Styela clava: one gene and its partner. The protein of the gene in region 2 interacts with the protein of the main gene of each other region in a biochemical or structural test. Links are inferred from orthologs where the notes say so. Each region holds a gene or a part of one and is shown on either strand. Other genes may lie near its edges. The genes, in order: uncharacterized protein LOC120347097 and nuclear pore complex protein Nup155-like.

What was found.
Region 1: the proteins of nuclear pore complex protein Nup155-like (region 2) and uncharacterized protein LOC120347097 form a complex in vitro, tested with the Homo sapiens proteins (2 studies listed by BioGRID). The link is inferred for Styela clava from reciprocal best matches to the Homo sapiens genes NUP155 and GLE1.

Annotation. Positions count from the first base shown.
Region 1 is NC_135260.1:1,246,035-1,254,908, reverse strand, and holds the start of uncharacterized protein LOC120347097, read right to left. Parts: upstream 3,386-8,874; 5' UTR 3,258-3,385; coding exon 2,972-3,257; intron 2,117-2,971; coding exon 1,929-2,116; intron 1,386-1,928; coding exon 1,290-1,385; intron 153-1,289; coding exon 1-152. Other genes in the region: uncharacterized protein LOC120347098, read right to left, coding at 4,412-4,533, 4,842-5,707, 6,421-6,514, 7,666-7,851. UniProt on the Homo sapiens protein: Required for the export of mRNAs containing poly(A) tails from the nucleus into the cytoplasm. May be involved in the terminal step of the mRNA transport through the nuclear pore complex (NPC).
Region 2 is NC_135255.1:15,087,275-15,095,768, forward strand, and holds the start of nuclear pore complex protein Nup155-like, read right to left. Parts: upstream 3,351-8,494; 5' UTR 3,338-3,350; coding exon 3,211-3,337; intron 2,914-3,210; coding exon 2,800-2,913; intron 1,980-2,799; coding exon 1,812-1,979; intron 1,444-1,811; coding exon 1,357-1,443; intron 810-1,356; coding exon 664-809; intron 247-663; coding exon 141-246; intron 1-140. Other genes in the region: translocon-associated protein subunit delta-like, read right to left, coding at 4,089-4,589.

The DNA of each region.
Region 1 (8,874 bases), on a different chromosome or scaffold from region 2:
GCAACAATGTTTTGTGGGAGTTCTCTAATCCTCTCCAAACAATCTTTTTGTATGTTTTGAATTCCACTCATGTGGTTCGCAAGTTTTTCAAAATCTTCTTTCTGCTTTTTCATTTGCAAAAGTTGAAGTCTGAGTTTTCTCTCTTCCATTTCCTGAATAGAAATAATAGTAAAACTGATAAGTCGGACATAAAATAAAGTCAAAGGGATGACTAAAATGTCGGTTTTCTCAAGCTGGGGCCACCAGGTAAGACTGATTTGCAGTCTAGCCAGAAAAAAAATAAAATCTGAATTTCTGAAAATCTGAAATTACCCAAGTGAGACTCATCAGCCAGGCGGAATGAAATTTAAAGTGGAGGCAGGGATGACCATAACCAAATGTTTTACTATTCTGAATATAGGCCTATCGAGTCCAAAACCAATATTAGGAATAGTTTAAAATTGTTTATACCGCATTTGCTCGTTTTGTAGCCCGAGCCCATATGTTTTATTAACCAAACTCACTAACCGGGCCCTTATTCAAACCGGCCCTCATTCAAGCATGGGCGCTTGTTATTTTCAAATAAGATCGATCGTTACAATAATTAATATATTTTCATTTCCAGTTATCAATTATGATTTAAACGAGAATAACGAAAATTTTGACTTTTTCTACGCACCGCAGGTACAAATCCGCAAAAAAAGAAAAGTTTTGCGATGTCCTATCGATATTGAAACGACGCACATGGGCGTTGCAACGCCCAGTTTGGAATCAGTTACGTAATCAATTCTATCTGTTATGTAATTGGATGCGTTGGGCGTGAGTGTTATCTATCAGCGCCTAAAATTCAACAGCGTTGTGACAAAAGCGCTTCTTATTTCCTATTGTTCTCTACCAAAATCAGCTTTTACATCGGGCGGTCATTCGAGCACCGGCCCCTATTTATTTTTATGTTCTGTTCACACAGGCGGCTATTCAAACAGGCCCTTAATCAAGATCGGGCGGTAAAACGAGCATATACGGTATTTAATATCAAAATTCTTGATTTTAGGTATAATTAAGAATACTGTAGTTTCAGTTGAAAAATTATAAAAGCCTCACAGTATGACCAAAGAGAATGTAATTAATTAGGTTAATTAGATATTTACATTCTTTTATTTTGGATATTTACGTTCAATCCACAAATTTTCAAAGTATTTTTTGAATGAAACATACTTTCGCCTTTTATTTGTAGCTTATTGTTAGCTGGTTATTTTTGATGTTGGGTGCGAGACTAAACAAATTCTTAAAAGGGGGTGCAGCCACCTCACCTGTTGTCTAGTTTTAATAATATGATCTTGGTGCGCTTGCATCTCACGGCGAATCCTCAATGCACTCTCTTCGGCTTCTTGGAAAAATCTTTTCATCTAAACAAGGTGAACATCGAATGGGGAAATGAAACATTCCAAAGTAAGTGCACCAAGATGGCCCACAACCTGAACCCTAACCTGGTACACATACTCCGTTCAGGTTGTGCGCCATCTTGGTGCACATACTTCTGGAGCTCCAAAAAAAATGTACCTAAGTACCTAATCGTATGGCAAACTACGACTCTGTCCGGTTATCAGTCCATGTTGGGCACGGGGAGAGAAAATAGTTAACCAATTATGCATTTCACATGCATGGCCTATGATTTTGGAGATACAGTCAGAAGTTCCTACACGATGAGATCAATTTTTTTTCCAATCTGAGTTGGAATTCGAAGTCTGGTAGTTTGAATAGCTTGCAGTGGGATGTGAATATTCCCTCAGCTCTACAACTTTGTGTAAAAAAGTACTCGACTACAGAACAGCGCAGCCAAGGTTATATTTTTAGAATAAAGGGGTAACATGATTCCATGACAACATGTTAGGCATTATCAAGGGGGAAAGACTGAGATAGATAGCAATAAGACAATCTATGATACTCACTCTCTCCTCTTCCCTAGATTTTCTCTGCAATTCTTCTTTTCTCCTATTTCTGACTCTTTCCTGTGTTTTTCTTTCAATTTCAGCGTAAAATTCTTCCTGTTTTTTCATCTGTTCAATATTTTCCCTTCGTTTTTGTTCCTCTAATTCAGCTTCATACTGACGAAGCGGCGCATCAACATCAATAAAATCTGAAAAATAGGAACATCTAGGAAAAACTAGTCAATGTGAGTCACTGTCGGCTGAGAGGCTTCTGTGCCATAGTGAAGAGAGGGGTATGCAACCTGCGCCCTACACAGAAAAATTGTGCGGCACACGGAGAAGTGCCGATATTGAATAGTGTGAAAAAGTTTTTAATTTAGTTTAATCTGGTTCTTGCGAGTATTTCCAATCCTTTTGCAAAGTCCATACCGTAGTCCGATTCAATAGCTATGTTATATCTCCTCTTTTTGTGCTCACAATTACCAGAAAGCCTATTTTGAAACAAACGTGCGATTATAAGAGAATTTTTACAGTCTTCGCGTCTCTTTCTGTTTCCGCCCAAAACAAACGGATGAAATAAATTGGGTAAGCGATGACAAAGAAGTTTTCGCTCCTTTTTCGATTCAGTTTTTTTATGATTTCAATAATGTAATGTGACCATAATGCATTCCTTTTTTAGCTTTCATTTGTTCAATATTTGCTTGAAACAACTCACCCGGAAATAAAAGAGAATGGTATCTGAGAAAAGGCACTGACAACCAATAAGAAATTGTAGCATAGAATTATGGGTACTCCCGTAGTATGTGTACCAGGTTAGGGTTAGGCCATATTTTTATCTCGATTTTCTTCATTTTAGTTCTATTACGAACTTGGGAACTGTCTGTGTTATCCAAGTGAATATACCCCCTGCCCATAGGTTTCAGTCCCTTTACACAACTTGATGTAATGTAGGCGAACAACATTAGTGACCTCCATGTTGGTACACACACTTCTGGAGCGTCGAATTATGAGATGGTCAATGATGTGAGACTAGAATCACTTTATACACTATGAAGAACACGAACCTCTAAATCTCTCATCCAGTTCTTTTTCTTTCCCACTCATTTCAAGCCGGGATTTCGCTTTCTCCTCAGCGACAACATTTTCCACATGAACATTTGCGTCATCATCAATTGCTTCGAGGGCCGCTCGGATCGACGACACTTCAAAAACAATTCCTTCTGTGCTTCGACGTATTTTTGGCGACGCAATATCACTTGCTAAGTCCTTTGCTGTCCATTCGTTATAGTATTTCAATCGGCCTTTTTCTGTTTTTCTCAAAGATTCGATCACCGACAGTGGTGAAGGCATAATTATGGTTTTTGTTAACTAATTCTATATAAAACCTATTTGAAACATGAGATATCAAAGTTTATATAAATTTTCTACAATTTGAAGAGTTTACAGAGAGTTTGCATTGGGTTTTGAAGACAATAATATATAAAGTAAAACATAAGGTGTAATTAAGAAATAAAAAAATGTGAAAACTCTACATTTTTGGCAATTCTTGAATTTCTGCAACTTTAAATGAGAAAAGTAAGAGCACAGTAAATGGCTAATAATTCATTATTCCAAATACATTAAAATACAAATATTATTTTAAAATATCTGATATATAGAACAAACAACACATAAAAATTGATAAAATCAAATGAATTTGGATTTTAAAATGCTGGAATGTTAAGATGAACGCTAGAGTAGTTGGTTTTATATTGTTTACAGTTTTTAGAAATTAGATTAAGCAAATAGATTGCAGATAAAAGTGATTTGATTAGTTTATTATTTTTTACAGTCATAGCAAATAAGGCTCTCATGGTTAACAAGAACATAAAATATCAAACATTTGGAACTCCCGGAGTATGTGAACCAAGATGGCGAACACCGGAACATAGTATGTGTAAAACATTTGAACTTTTCATGATAAAAAATGCAAATTGATAAAAAAGGCTGTGATTGGAGTTTGACTCAAAATTTTCTATGGAATATCAAAAAGCATCAACTTTACTAGCAATCTTAACAATATTAGGATTTACATATTCATCCAGGAAAACCATGCCTTCTTGTCAGCGACTAGTCCATGTCGTATATGGGACTAGTTAGCCAGTTATTTGTTTCTCGGAAGCATGGACTTGATGGTGGAAGAAGCCGTAACCGACCAGCGGTTACGTGAACCACCCTGCATCAATGAGGAGTCCAGCAATCCTCTCGCACATATTTATCCTTAAACAGGATTCGAACCTGCTAACCCCCGCAGGCTAATCAGAGGTGCGGCGGTGGGCACGATGCGCCACACCTAGAATGCTTCAATTGAAAATTGAACTTTTCGTGATAACAAATATATGTAAGTGAACAGGAGTTTTGCTGATAAATCTGAACTTGATGTTGTAAACAGAATACAGTATTGTTAACATTTTTTTCATATGGAATAATTTCAAATAATATATTTTGTGAGTCCAGAAATTCCCTCATCCAGCTTTATACACTGGATTCTTGCTTGACACGTTTGCAGTCCCTCCCTCAGTAGCTATGACGTTAGCTGTTGTTTTTGTACTCGCGTCGTAAGTGAAATGAATGTTCGGTGAATCCACTGTAAAAAAATACAGGAATTAATACCTCAGGACGAAGCTTCTTACCTATTGGGAGAAAATAAGGCTTAGATTTCACAAGTAGGAAATGCACAAAAATAACCCAATCTCTTTCCACGAAATTGCTAGGAAAATCAAGTGTATACAAAGCGGTAACCAGGGGGCGGCCTGACGGGTCTCTTCACAATATTAAACCCTGATAAACTAAAGACCACTTTAGAAATACGAATAGAAAGTTTGGAATCGTTTGTAAACTTTCATTGACTTCTTATCATGTCTTCAAAATTCAAACGAAACTCTTAATACTTACTCTTCACGACAATCGGCCATGACGTTCCGAGAGGAGAAACTTCTTCTTCTTCTCCCTCAACCCTTGTGTAATATCTCATGTTGATACGTCCCTTGTATTCTCCGAGCTCGGGGTCAAAGGTGAAATAAACAACGTGCTTTCGTTTCTTTAGAAAAGAGGGGGTGACTTGGACTGTCTGGTTACCACACGATGTCATTGCAGTTGATTGTGGATGCTTGCAGTCAATACGAAGACTTATCTTTGCACCCATTTTCGTGATCATCTCTCTTTCACTCATAAGGATTTGTACGATATTTCGATCTCGTAAATTTTCCCGTGTTTTTTCGTAAAACGTAAAATCAATGAAAAAAAACGACGCAACATACTCGGTGTCTTTTTCAATAAAAACATCATTAATAAGATGAATTTCACCTAATTCACAATCTTCTTCCGAAACCGCTATGACATCATCAGAAAAATGCAAAACCTCGAATTCAAGATAATTTTTACGGCCGAGACGCAATTTTTGTGTCTCTTTCCATTCCGAATCAACATCTTTACGACCAAAAACAATCGCTGAAATTTTATCAGAGCCTATCGCGCTAAAACAAGTCGAGAGGCCGACTTTAACAGGCTTATCAAATTCAACATGAGGGACGCACGACAGGATGGGGGTAATTGGGACCCCGATATCAGATACATTGTCAGTCTCATGGTTCAATGTTATATCCAAATGAATTTCTTTTTTCAAGGCACCGGGGGGTATATGTATTTTATTTCCACCAATAGTAATCACCCCTCCGTCTGCGCCCACTGTTTTGGACTGACTCATCTTTGGAACAAAGCCCTGCCCAATATTGGCAGGTTGTGAAACGTCTTTTTGAGACCTGCAATACAGAAAGTAGTTCATTAGGATTTATATATCTCGGGGGAGAGGAATGACGAAAAGACGGTTTAACCATTTATCCTTTGGAACTTATATTTTTAAACTAAATTTCCAGGTTTGAATGATATCTGAAACTTCAAAGATTAATTTAAAATTGTGCCAACGTTTTATGGTTGTGATCAATGGATATGCAGAGACAGAGAGAGATTAATATTTCGTCAACCAGAGAACAAGCAATGGTACAAAAAAATATAAACAAAATCAATTCGTTATAGACTGGAGGGAGCGATACAGATACAAACATAAGATCATCGAAGTCAGCTTCCCCGAAATTCACTATTAAGATTCACAGTTAATGTATGTGAACCATGTAGCATCGGATCTGATTGATACACAAAACATTTAGTTTTAAGATATACATTGATAATAAGACACAAATTCAAAAAGTTTGGGCGTTGATTCTTGAGAAAGAAAAGTATATATACGCGAATTGTTGAATTCGGGCGTTAAAATCTTGAAAAATAAAAATACATGAGCATGAACTCGGGCGTTAAACTTGACTTGAAAAGTTGAGTCAGCTACGAGGAATATTGAAGCTCCAGAGCTGTAGCCACAGATTAATTTTACTGTGGAGATGGATTTGGAGTAATTGTGATTCCTAACCAGCTCCCAAGCCCTGCTCATGACAAAACTGAATCATATACCAAACCTCACCTATGCATCTGAAAGTCTTCCATACTTTTCTTATTCAAGGATGGCGAGGTTTCAGGTTCTGAAGTCAAGACTATCTGCCCAATCAGTTTGTCCTCTGTAAAAAAGAGAATTGGAGATTGCCTATCAATTTACTGTAAGCCAGGGTGATGTGAATAGTGTAAAAATAAAATAAACTACCATGCACATTTATATAAAGCATGTTACACTCTCAATTGAAAGGGCCTTCTGGAAGGCCCTATTTAGGTCGTTTTCGGGCGGTCCAGAAGTGTGTGTACCAATATGGAGGTAACTAATTTTGTTTGCCTATTTTACACCAAAGTGTGTAAAGGGACTGAAACCTATGGTCAGGGCGATATTCACTTGGTTAACACAGACAGTCTCGAACTCGTAATAGAACTAAAATAAGGTAAATCAGAATAAAATTGTAGCCTAACCCTAATCTGGTACCCATTTTTCGCAGTACCCATTTTTGAAATAAATTCTCACAGTAAATATAGTAGAAAAAGTTCTAAATTTTTCAGCTTAAAAAGTTAATTAAATGTTATTTACAGACTCCTAAAAACTACTGCACATACATAGTTTTTATTAGTCTGCTCAAATATTGAAAAGTTTTAACTTTTTTTCATCTAAGAGAATTTTTATATATTTTTCAAGAATCGCAAGAAGTATGGGCAATCCAGGTATTAATCGAGGCACTGTTTTTACTGTTTCGTAATTTTCTATAGATTCACAACAATTGCAATGTGATGGGAATGGACTGTCATCATTTTTGTATGCAAATAGAGATAGTTCATTGATAAGAGAATGCGATAAATTTTTGTTGTTCCAGTGTCAATAAATGTATTCTTTGTAATTGCGGACCCTTTTTTTAGACAAGCATGATTTCATGTTGATTGCTTGATTTATTGAGAAACAAAATGCAATTCAGAATGTTTAATGATATAGGAAACTTGGACATTACTATAAAAAATGTAGGACCTTCTGGAAGGCCCTATAAGAAATAATCAGTTACAGGTATTAGGGTTGAATCTTAACATTGAGAAGAAAACCAGAGTTTTGGAGGGAAGAAAAATTAAATAGAATTTATCATTTTTTGTTACAGATTGACGTAATATTATATTTGAGTTTAAGCTATACAGAAGAATAAGTTCAAAGTTGAATGCTGCTACGTGCAGTATCATGATTTTAGTTATCACCCAGTTGGGATTCAAAACATGAGAAAAAAAGAGAGTTAATGATACATACCAATTTCATGTTCAAATAACTTTGAATATATCTCGACAGCCCCATAGTTTTCTTTATTGCTTCGCACCCATTTCATGCATTTCTTGATGTCTCCTTTAGTCTGATAGATTGAGGCTTTTGCTTCTGTAGCACTCATCTCATACTTTGTAACCAGTATTTTAACTTGGTATATTTTCATCAGCATATCTAGGATTAAATAAATATAAATCTTTTAAAAGTTTCATCCAACGATTTGGATAGGATTTACATATTTATCCTGGAGAGAGGAAATCTGATATAATGGCTTAATCATATGGCAAACAGTGCGCTTTCGTCCTGTTACCAGTCCATGTCAGGTATGGGATTAGTTAGTTAGTTATTTGTTTTCGGAAGCATGGACTTGATGATGGAGGAAGTCCTAACTGACAAGCGGTTACGTGAACCAAGTCCATGCTTCCGAAAACAAACAATACAGTAAAAACTAATCCCATACCCGACTTGGAATGGTAACCGGACGAGAGGCCGTGGTTCGCCATATGGATAAGCCGTCTTATCGGCTTTCCTCTCCCCCGGGATAAATATGTAAATCCGATCCTATCCATCCACCGCGGTGAGGAGTCCAGCAATCCTCTCGCACATAATCCTACCCCCACAGGATTCGAACCTGCGAACCCACGCAGGGCAATCATTGATACAGTGGCACGAGTATTCCCTATGCTTAGCACGATGCGGCTACCACCAAACCATTACTATTTTTTTGGAAAAACCAGAATTTTCCTAGTTTGGCATGGCTTACCCAATTTATTGTGATGTGAAGTAATGGAATCTGTAATACCAGCTGTGTTTCTTCTAAGGAAATGTTACACTGAGCAAAATGTTTGTTTTACTGAGCATGAATATTTTAACGCTGAGCAGAGTCCTATACGATTCACAAACTTTGTGAAATATTCCAACAATATAATATATTATCAGAATGCGCTGACATGTAGGCTTGGCTAAAACTAGCCCGCTCCAGATAATCTCAAATAATTAGAGGTACTTGTACATAACAGACAAGTATCCAACACCCCAATGAACAGTGGCAAGCAAACAACCGGCACATATAAAACGTGGAATGAGCATTCTAGCTAGGCGTTAGAAAAGATGAGTCAAAGCCACAATTTGAAAGCGTAATGTTGCAAGTGCGGGATAATAAAAATTTAATTCCGCAAATGGTGTGGTGGCAGTGCG
Region 2 (8,494 bases):
GAAGAAAAAACATGATATGAAACACAATAAATGTTGAAAATATGCTGATATGATAATTCCAGATTGATCAAACAATTTTATAAATAAAACTTATTTACAAAATTGAACATTACATTACAACATTAAAATTAAAGTCTCACCATCATCTGTGAGCCATGAATTGACAAGAGTTGGAAGTAGAAATGATAATTTACTTCTGGAATGATTAATTTTTGTACATTTTCTAGCAAACCATCCTCCTGCAGCCTGAAAAAAAAACAATTCTGATTGAATTCTACTGTTAGTATTACTGTAATACAAAAAGTGAAACACCAATAAAAAGCTAAAGATATAATATATAAGCAATGTTGGAAAATTCAGGTAAAATGGAATATTTTGATTCATTGGAAACTAACAAGTATTGCTCATTCGTATTCACTCTTGCTTTGATTAATATAAAAGAACCGCCTAACTTTGTTCCCTTTCTGATTATCCCTTGCTCGTGACATTTTTCATCTGGCGTATTTATTTGGAGTATAGCGTACCCAAAGTCATCAAACAATTGACCCGAAACCTCACAAGATGCCCCCAAGTACTACCTAAAAGCCTGTACTTCTAGAACCACTGTTAGACTCGCAAACCCCAGTTTGAAAAACCTGATTTAAACAGAATACAAAACCAAACCTGGTAAGCAATTTCATACAAGCATCCATCTTTACCACCAGTGAAAATTCTGCCAGTTTCAGTACATACAGTGTGAACAAGATAAACATTATCTGAAGTTAATGTGAACAATGGATCTGGTAGCAAGTGCATCTCGCCGTTGACATCTAGAAATTTAAGAATTAGACGATAATTATAACTCAGCTTTATATCTATAATTCAAACTAAAATCTATATAAGATAATAATTCAGTGGCATAAGTCTCTGCATGATTCAATATTGCTGAGATATACTCCAGACCATGTTGACATAATCTTCTCCGCTAAGACCTGGATGCGGCGGCCTAGTGGTTAGAATGTTGGACTAACTATGCTGGCATAGAAGGTTACAAATTTCAAATTCAAACATAATATGTCCACCATCTTTCAAAGAGAAGGAATAAATTGGGAAGGTAAAGCCGACTCTGAAGATCATGGTCCTTCCAAACTAGTAGATGCTTGAATGTTAGTGGATGCCAATAAACTCAAAAATGTAAAAAAGTCTTGTATATGAGAAATGAATGAGATTTCCTTTATGACAGAGTGACTTTCATTTTCGGGTTAAAATTCCCGAAATTGTTTGAAACCCTTTTAAACCCACATGCTCTCTAGCAATATCTGGGCAGTAAGATGATTTCGTTCACTCTCCTAATTGAAAGTTATATTTAAACAATACCTTCTTCTGCAAAACTGACTCCCAGAATAACAATCTCCATCGGTGTTGTCAAGACTAGAAGATATTTGATGTGATCTCTGAATATACCTGCAATATTGAACATTAATTGATAAATACAAGAGAAGCATATAAAAAGTATGAACATGAGGTGTTCCCATATTGTCATGTAAGTGTTCCCATATATTAAAATATAACAGAAAAATATCGGGCGAGTTAAAAGGTGCACAAGGCTCAGAGAAAATATGAAATCGATTGGTCCCTCAAGTGGCGACTGGCGAGGAAACAAATTTTTTGCAACAACACAAACAAAAATTGAGAATAATGACACACATGTACAACTCATGTACAAATAGTACAATAAAGAAAAAGTAATTGATTAAAGAGTATTGATGAAGCTTAATACTCTCCTTTAATCTAAAAGTGCGCAAATAAAAAAATAAATATCCAATGCTCACCAGGTTTGGGTTTGACTAGTGCAACACTTAATATTGTCTCAGAGAGTCCATCAAAATAAGCTAGATCTTCTCCATCTGCATATCGCCATACAAATATATCAGAATCCACAGTCAACCATGCTCTTCCTATTTCGGGAAAGATACCAACAATGCAATTGCATTGCATATCTTTATATTAGTGTGATGTTAAGAAATCATGTTTTCATCATATATAGGCCTATATACCACTAATATACAATATAACATTGAGTTATTACACAGAAAACTATTATAACTAAGAAATGCATGAGACCAGGCCTCCCTTACGTACGGACGTACAGTATATAAAAATGGTCAAATCTTGATAACAGGGTTATGAAAAGCAATGAATAGGCCTATTTATAGAACTTTTGAAGACTGGAATCTTTCCGTTTGTTGTACCAAGATTTCTATCTTCTATCTATTGTAAGAAGATTTCTATCTTGCCATGCCAGGGCCGAAGTTGTGTTTTCAAACCACCCTTAGTCAGAAGTTGATATTTTTAACTTTTCGGAGTGGGAATTTTAGACTTCAAATGATGATAATTGAAGCCAAAAGTTCTGACAGAAACTCAAGAATCAGTAAGTCAACTTAGCATTCTAAACAGACAATGGAAGTTGGCTTTCATGTACCAAACTCTAATTTTTGTTGTCAAACTTTGGTTTTCACGGGTTTCGAGCTGAAGCCTGGGTCAAACTTTCCACCAACCTAGACTGGATATCAAACTAGTCGGAGTTGTTTTATGAAAAGCTTGAGTTTGTATATCTAGCCAGTGTAAATTTTATGTAAACTCTTGATACCCAGATTTTGGCTATAATTTTGTTCAATTTACTCTATTGGTTTAGGCACATGAAATACATCCCTCTGCATCATTAAAAAATTGACACCCAAGAAAAAATATTTATGAATACGACATAGCTGAGCGCATTCTAATTACCGTATCCATTTCAAATCTATATACAAAGGATACGTGCAAATTGTTCGACTAATTCGGGAGGCAGTGGTTTGTTTCGGATATCTGTGAGTTGAGGTAATCGTAAATTTGGATAATCTTCATCATGTGTTCCGCTACTGCTTCCAGAACCTTGAAAATGAAAAAGTATTGTGTTAATTAAGAAGGCTACTCGAGAGAAAAATCAATAATTGAAAAATTAATTGACTTATAGTGCCAGAATTTTCAGTGGAAACTGAAATTAATTTGAAAAACAACATTTTTAATTATGCAGACAAAAAGATGTTTGCCAATTGCCAAGCTCATTTTATGAAAGTTAGACAGTAGCCACGAATTTCACCGCATTGATACATATGCTAGAATAATACACTAAAAATCCTATAAGATTTTTTTAATTAAAAAAATTTGGCACAAAAAATATTGACTCACTTATTCCAGTTGCAGAAATAAGCTCAGACAAATCCAGTTGCTCCCTATCCGCCGCAAGAAATGTTTGTACAAAATTGGCAGCATCTTGAACCTCTTCTTTCAAAGGATTCTTTGTAGCTGTTGCCATTAAAATTCAGGGACTAGTTACAGACCTAGCATAAGATAGAATCTGAACAAAAAGCACATTGAAATAAAGCAGTTAAATTAACTGTTATTTAAATTTTCGAAAAAAATTTGTAGAAATACCATCAGGTGACGACCAAGAAAAAAATGCAACATCAATAAATTTGAAATATTCATTTAAATGAGAAAACTACAACATAGATGCTTCAGAAATTAGTTGATATCATAATGAAAACGCACATTGCTCACACAGTACATTACAAACATTTCTTCCAAAAAACACGAATTTCATTTTAGAAGACACTGTTTATTTTACTCCAAATTCACAAAATGAGTCGAATTCTTTATATTTTATAGCTTTGATGCTTCAACGAATAGACAGATATCTGGTGTCCAAAAATAAATGACAACCACAAAATTGATAATCGAAATAATGTTTTCCATTTATTTTGGGACACCCTTATAATTTAAAAAACCAGACTTCATCAAACTAAACAGATAAATGCATGAATCTATTAACTTCATTAGAAAACTAAGCAATTTCTAAACTACAATTGAAAAGAGACAAATTATAATGTGAAATCAGTTCGTGATAAAGTGAAGTGTAATGAACTATAAATTTAACATTGTTTGATAGATTACTCGATGATTTTTAATTAAAAGTTACTGCAAAATAAATCTCAAGTGTAATTTTGACTGCATTTTCAAATGTGCAATTTTGAAATTCACTACAATTACAGTGAATATATGTGAAATTAATCCATAACTTCGCTCCGCAAACGACAAACTGCATAGTAGATAAGGACAGCTACGAAGATACCAACAACTTCAGATGTCAACCACAAATCTCTTGTGTTTCCAGGGTGATTGAATTCAATATCAAATAGCGACGAAAGACCAGAAGTATCTTCTTCATTTCTCATTGCTTTTCTGAGAACATTCATTCCATCATCATCAAAGAGACGTAATTTGTAGGTTCCACTTGCAGCATTACTAGATTCTGTAACCCAACTTAGCTGATAAATATTCTGTTCTGGGGATTTGGTAACAGGATATATTTTTCCACCAACTTCTGCAAACAGTGGAAATCCTTGAGCTCCACTGCTACATTGTAACTTGAATTTCACAATGAAGGCAGTGTCATCTGACAGGCGCCTTTCAGTTGTTGTATAAGTTTCCTCTGTTACTGTATGCCTCCCACAGATGTTACCCTGCACGAGCGCTACGCATGCAATGATCAAAACGAAAATCTTCATCTTGTCTTTTAGTTTATTTATAATGGTGAAAAACTTTAAAACTAGGATTCAATATTCTAGTACCAAAAAACAATAATTAGGATAAGATTTACATATTTATCCCGAGGGAGAGGAAAGCGATAAGATGGCTTAATCATACGGCGAACCAAGGCCTCTTGTTCTGTTACCAGTTCAGGTCGGGTATGGGATTGGTTAGCCAGTTATTTGAATTCGGAAGCATGAACTTGATGGTGGAGGAAGCCGTAACCGACCAGTGGTTACATAAACCACCCTACTGCCCCAGGAGTCCAGTAATCTTCTGGCACATAACCATTCCTGTATTCCTAACGCTTAGCACGATGCGCCACACCGCCGAGCCTTTCAATAGTCAATGCAACTTCACATCAGTACATAGCATTAAATGAAAAACAAATACGGTACAGTAGGGCAGTTGTGTTCCAAAATGTGTCAACATTTGGTACAATGAAACAAACACTCTGTCTGTCTCTGAAACGAGAGTGTCTGGCATGACGGCAGATTCAGATTTGAGTAACCTACCAAAAATGAGTTTTTTCGCTGAACACTCTAGTCTAAAATGATATGATAAATTTTTTTCTTTTTCACAATATGTAAGCCCAGTCTGTCTCGTAAAGAAGGGGTTTGCACTCACTGTTATAATAGATGTCTTTTAATGTGGGGGTTAATCTTGGAATGGGATACCTAACTCTGTAACTGGGCTGTACTGAAAAAGGTTTGAAATTGAGAAAATATCTCATTCAGTCAATATCCTGATATTTTGCGACTAATGCCCTTAACCCAGCTAATACCGCCAGTCCGGAAGTGAAATTTTAAAGCAAGTTGTCGGTTGGTCGGAGAATAGTACAGAATTTTTGGTTAAAATGCCGATATTTACTAATTTTGATGTAAAATTCCTGTTTGGGCCATGTTTGACAAGATAATAATATATGTTCCCGACGTACAATTTTTCTGGAATTTGGTTCGAGATGAATTCACAGTATGATTTTTTGAAATATCTTATCTGAAAGTGGGGCACGTAATCAAATAGTACAGAATTTTTGGGTCGAATGCCGATATTTACTAATTTTGATGTAAAATTCCTGTTTGGGCCATGTTTAACAAGATCTTATTATATGTTCCCGACATACAATTTTTCTGAAACTTGGTTCCAAATAACTTCACAGTATGTTCTTTTGGAATATCTAATCTAAAAGTGGGGCACATAATCAAAAAGTGCAAACTTTTAGGTTGAAATACTGATATTTATTAATTTCGATGTAAAATTCATGGTTCGGCCATATTTGACAAGATATTATTATATGTTCCCGACATACAAATTTTCTCAAACTTGGTTCCAAATGACTTCACAATATGTTTGTTTGAGATGTCTTATCTAAAAGTGGGGCACCTAATCGAAAAGTACAGAATTTGGGGTTAAAATGCCGACATTTATTAATTTTAATGTGAAATTTCTTTTTGGCCATGTTTGACAATGTATTATTATATGTTTCCAACATATAATTTTCATAAAACTTGGATTAGGATGACTTCAATATAAGTTCTTTTTTTATATCAACTTCAAAAATCTGCCAGGCCATCGGAAATTACAAATAAGTGTTTTGTAATTCCGAGTATAGCAAAATTCCGCCGTAAATCTGGCAAGTACTTTGCGACTATCTTTCCTTTTTTCCGATGCGGCATTTAAGTGCCATGTTAAATCGTTTTCTGGCAACGCTATTTTACCGTTCCGAAAACGAGAAAGATGTCCGCTGAGAGATGTCTGCTAGGGTAACTTTGGTCACTTTTTATGGATATAATTTGGGTTGAAAATTTCAAAAATAACCAATAATCGGCTAAAATATAGACTGTACCTAATTCCCATGTATTATCTGCACCTGAATACAGGAATACAGAAATATAATGTGCCACTTTGTCCAATAACTAGGTACGTCAAGTCTATTACGGGTACCGGTACCGTAAAAGCAGGTAACTTCGGATGATTTCACTATATTATGAACAATTTCTCCGCCGTTTATTGTTCAATTGAAGCCAAACTTGGAATATAATACATTGAAGCCTTTCTCCTCGCGATAAACTCGGTTTCATATCAATCAATACTTTTTTTCATTCAAATTATTGACTTTATTTGCCTGCCGATCTGTATTCCAAATGTTTATAACTTCGGATGGCCACTTTTCGCTTTGCGTCACTTCGTCGTGAGAGAGAAATGTCTGCGTGATCAGTGACGCGTGATAACGTCGCTGCGTAGAACTTACGACGCCGTGATTCGTTTTGCGTGTCGCACACTGACGTTCATCTATGACGGCCGTTTTTGTGATTATTAATTCTTCCGGGTCGGCGGACATCAAAGTTTTATATATCTGGTGTACCCGTGTGTTTACATCGGCAACAGCTCTTGAAGACAAGAAGGACTGATTTCAAAACCCAAATTAATTTTGTTCTGATTCAATCTTACGTGTTGGCTTTGATCTTACTTATCACCGTTTGTATACTATTAATCGTTCGAGTTTAAAGCGAACGGTGATATTATTATCGTCGCCGAGATGGAGATATTTATTAAGACGATGATTGATGTTGTTATGCTTTGCACCCGCGATTGTGCGAATACTGAATTTTTATTTATAATAATGATTGAATAAATCGGCCGTTATGCATTTATACTTGTCATAAGGCTTTTGGTCCTGATAGCGGGTCGGACACTAATTATAACTATTTCCCTCAAGTTTTAACTTTTTTTTTGAACAAAACAATACCCCAACGGTTATTATAGCTAAAACCGTTACCGACTAATTCACAATTTTATCTGCGGAATTTGCGAACTCAGCACTTTACTCGACGATTTTGACAGTGTCGCGCCATAATTATTACCGCTAAATGCTTCAAAATACAACGCATGTAATAATTTTGCCCAGCCCTATTCCTGACGTTTCGCAAAACTAAACCATTTATCTCTTGACTATTCTTAATTTCATGAAAGTGCTATATCTTGCTATTATGATCGTTTCAATACGAAACAAAAATGAGACAACATGGGACAAATGAAAATAAAAAACGGACGAATAAAATAAGTCGTAAAAGTAAAAATGGAAAACAATTTTTAATACAAAACAAAAATGAAACGAATGAAAATAATAAAAAAGAAAAATGGATGATGAATTACGGTAGGTAGTAAAAGTAAAAAAAATGGAAGTGGACAACAATATGGAACAGTGTAGCTTGTGGCCGTGTTGATAATTCAGATATAATGTATTCACAGGCAGATAGACATGAAACGGATAAAAACGCCAAAAACCTCCAATCTCCTGCTGTGTGCACCTGTGCAGAGTTTCATGCTCACCTGTGCAACATTCTACTCTTAATATATTATCATCGCCGATCGTAAAACCTTGTCATTGTGATAGTATAGATACGCGTATCTGGCTGTTCATCAGCCTTACGTATCAACAACATCTATACGGTCGAAGAATGCCGAAATGTTAACACACAAATTTAATGTGCATTAATCGGATTCACAATAAATAAACAGCATATGACCGGGGCTATAATTAAGTTTTTGTAGGATTTGGTGACGAGGATCAGGTAGGAGTTTTCACTTTATATTTAACTACACGTGGCGCCACATAGTCTGGCGTTCAAATGTCGCAGCGAGTTACGCACGAGCTACGCAATGTGACGTCGGCCTTAAATGAAGCGAAATTGAATCACGTTGTTGACGTCACGTTCAGCGTAAGCACCGTAACGTCGATATTTTGACGAAATTTTTAAATCAAAATAATATATTTTACTTGAATCTCGTACGACATCTCGTGATCACTGTAATTTTCCTTGTACATTGTGTATGCCCTCTAGCGATTGACGGTCTTTTAGTGAAGTTAGCGTCGATAGAA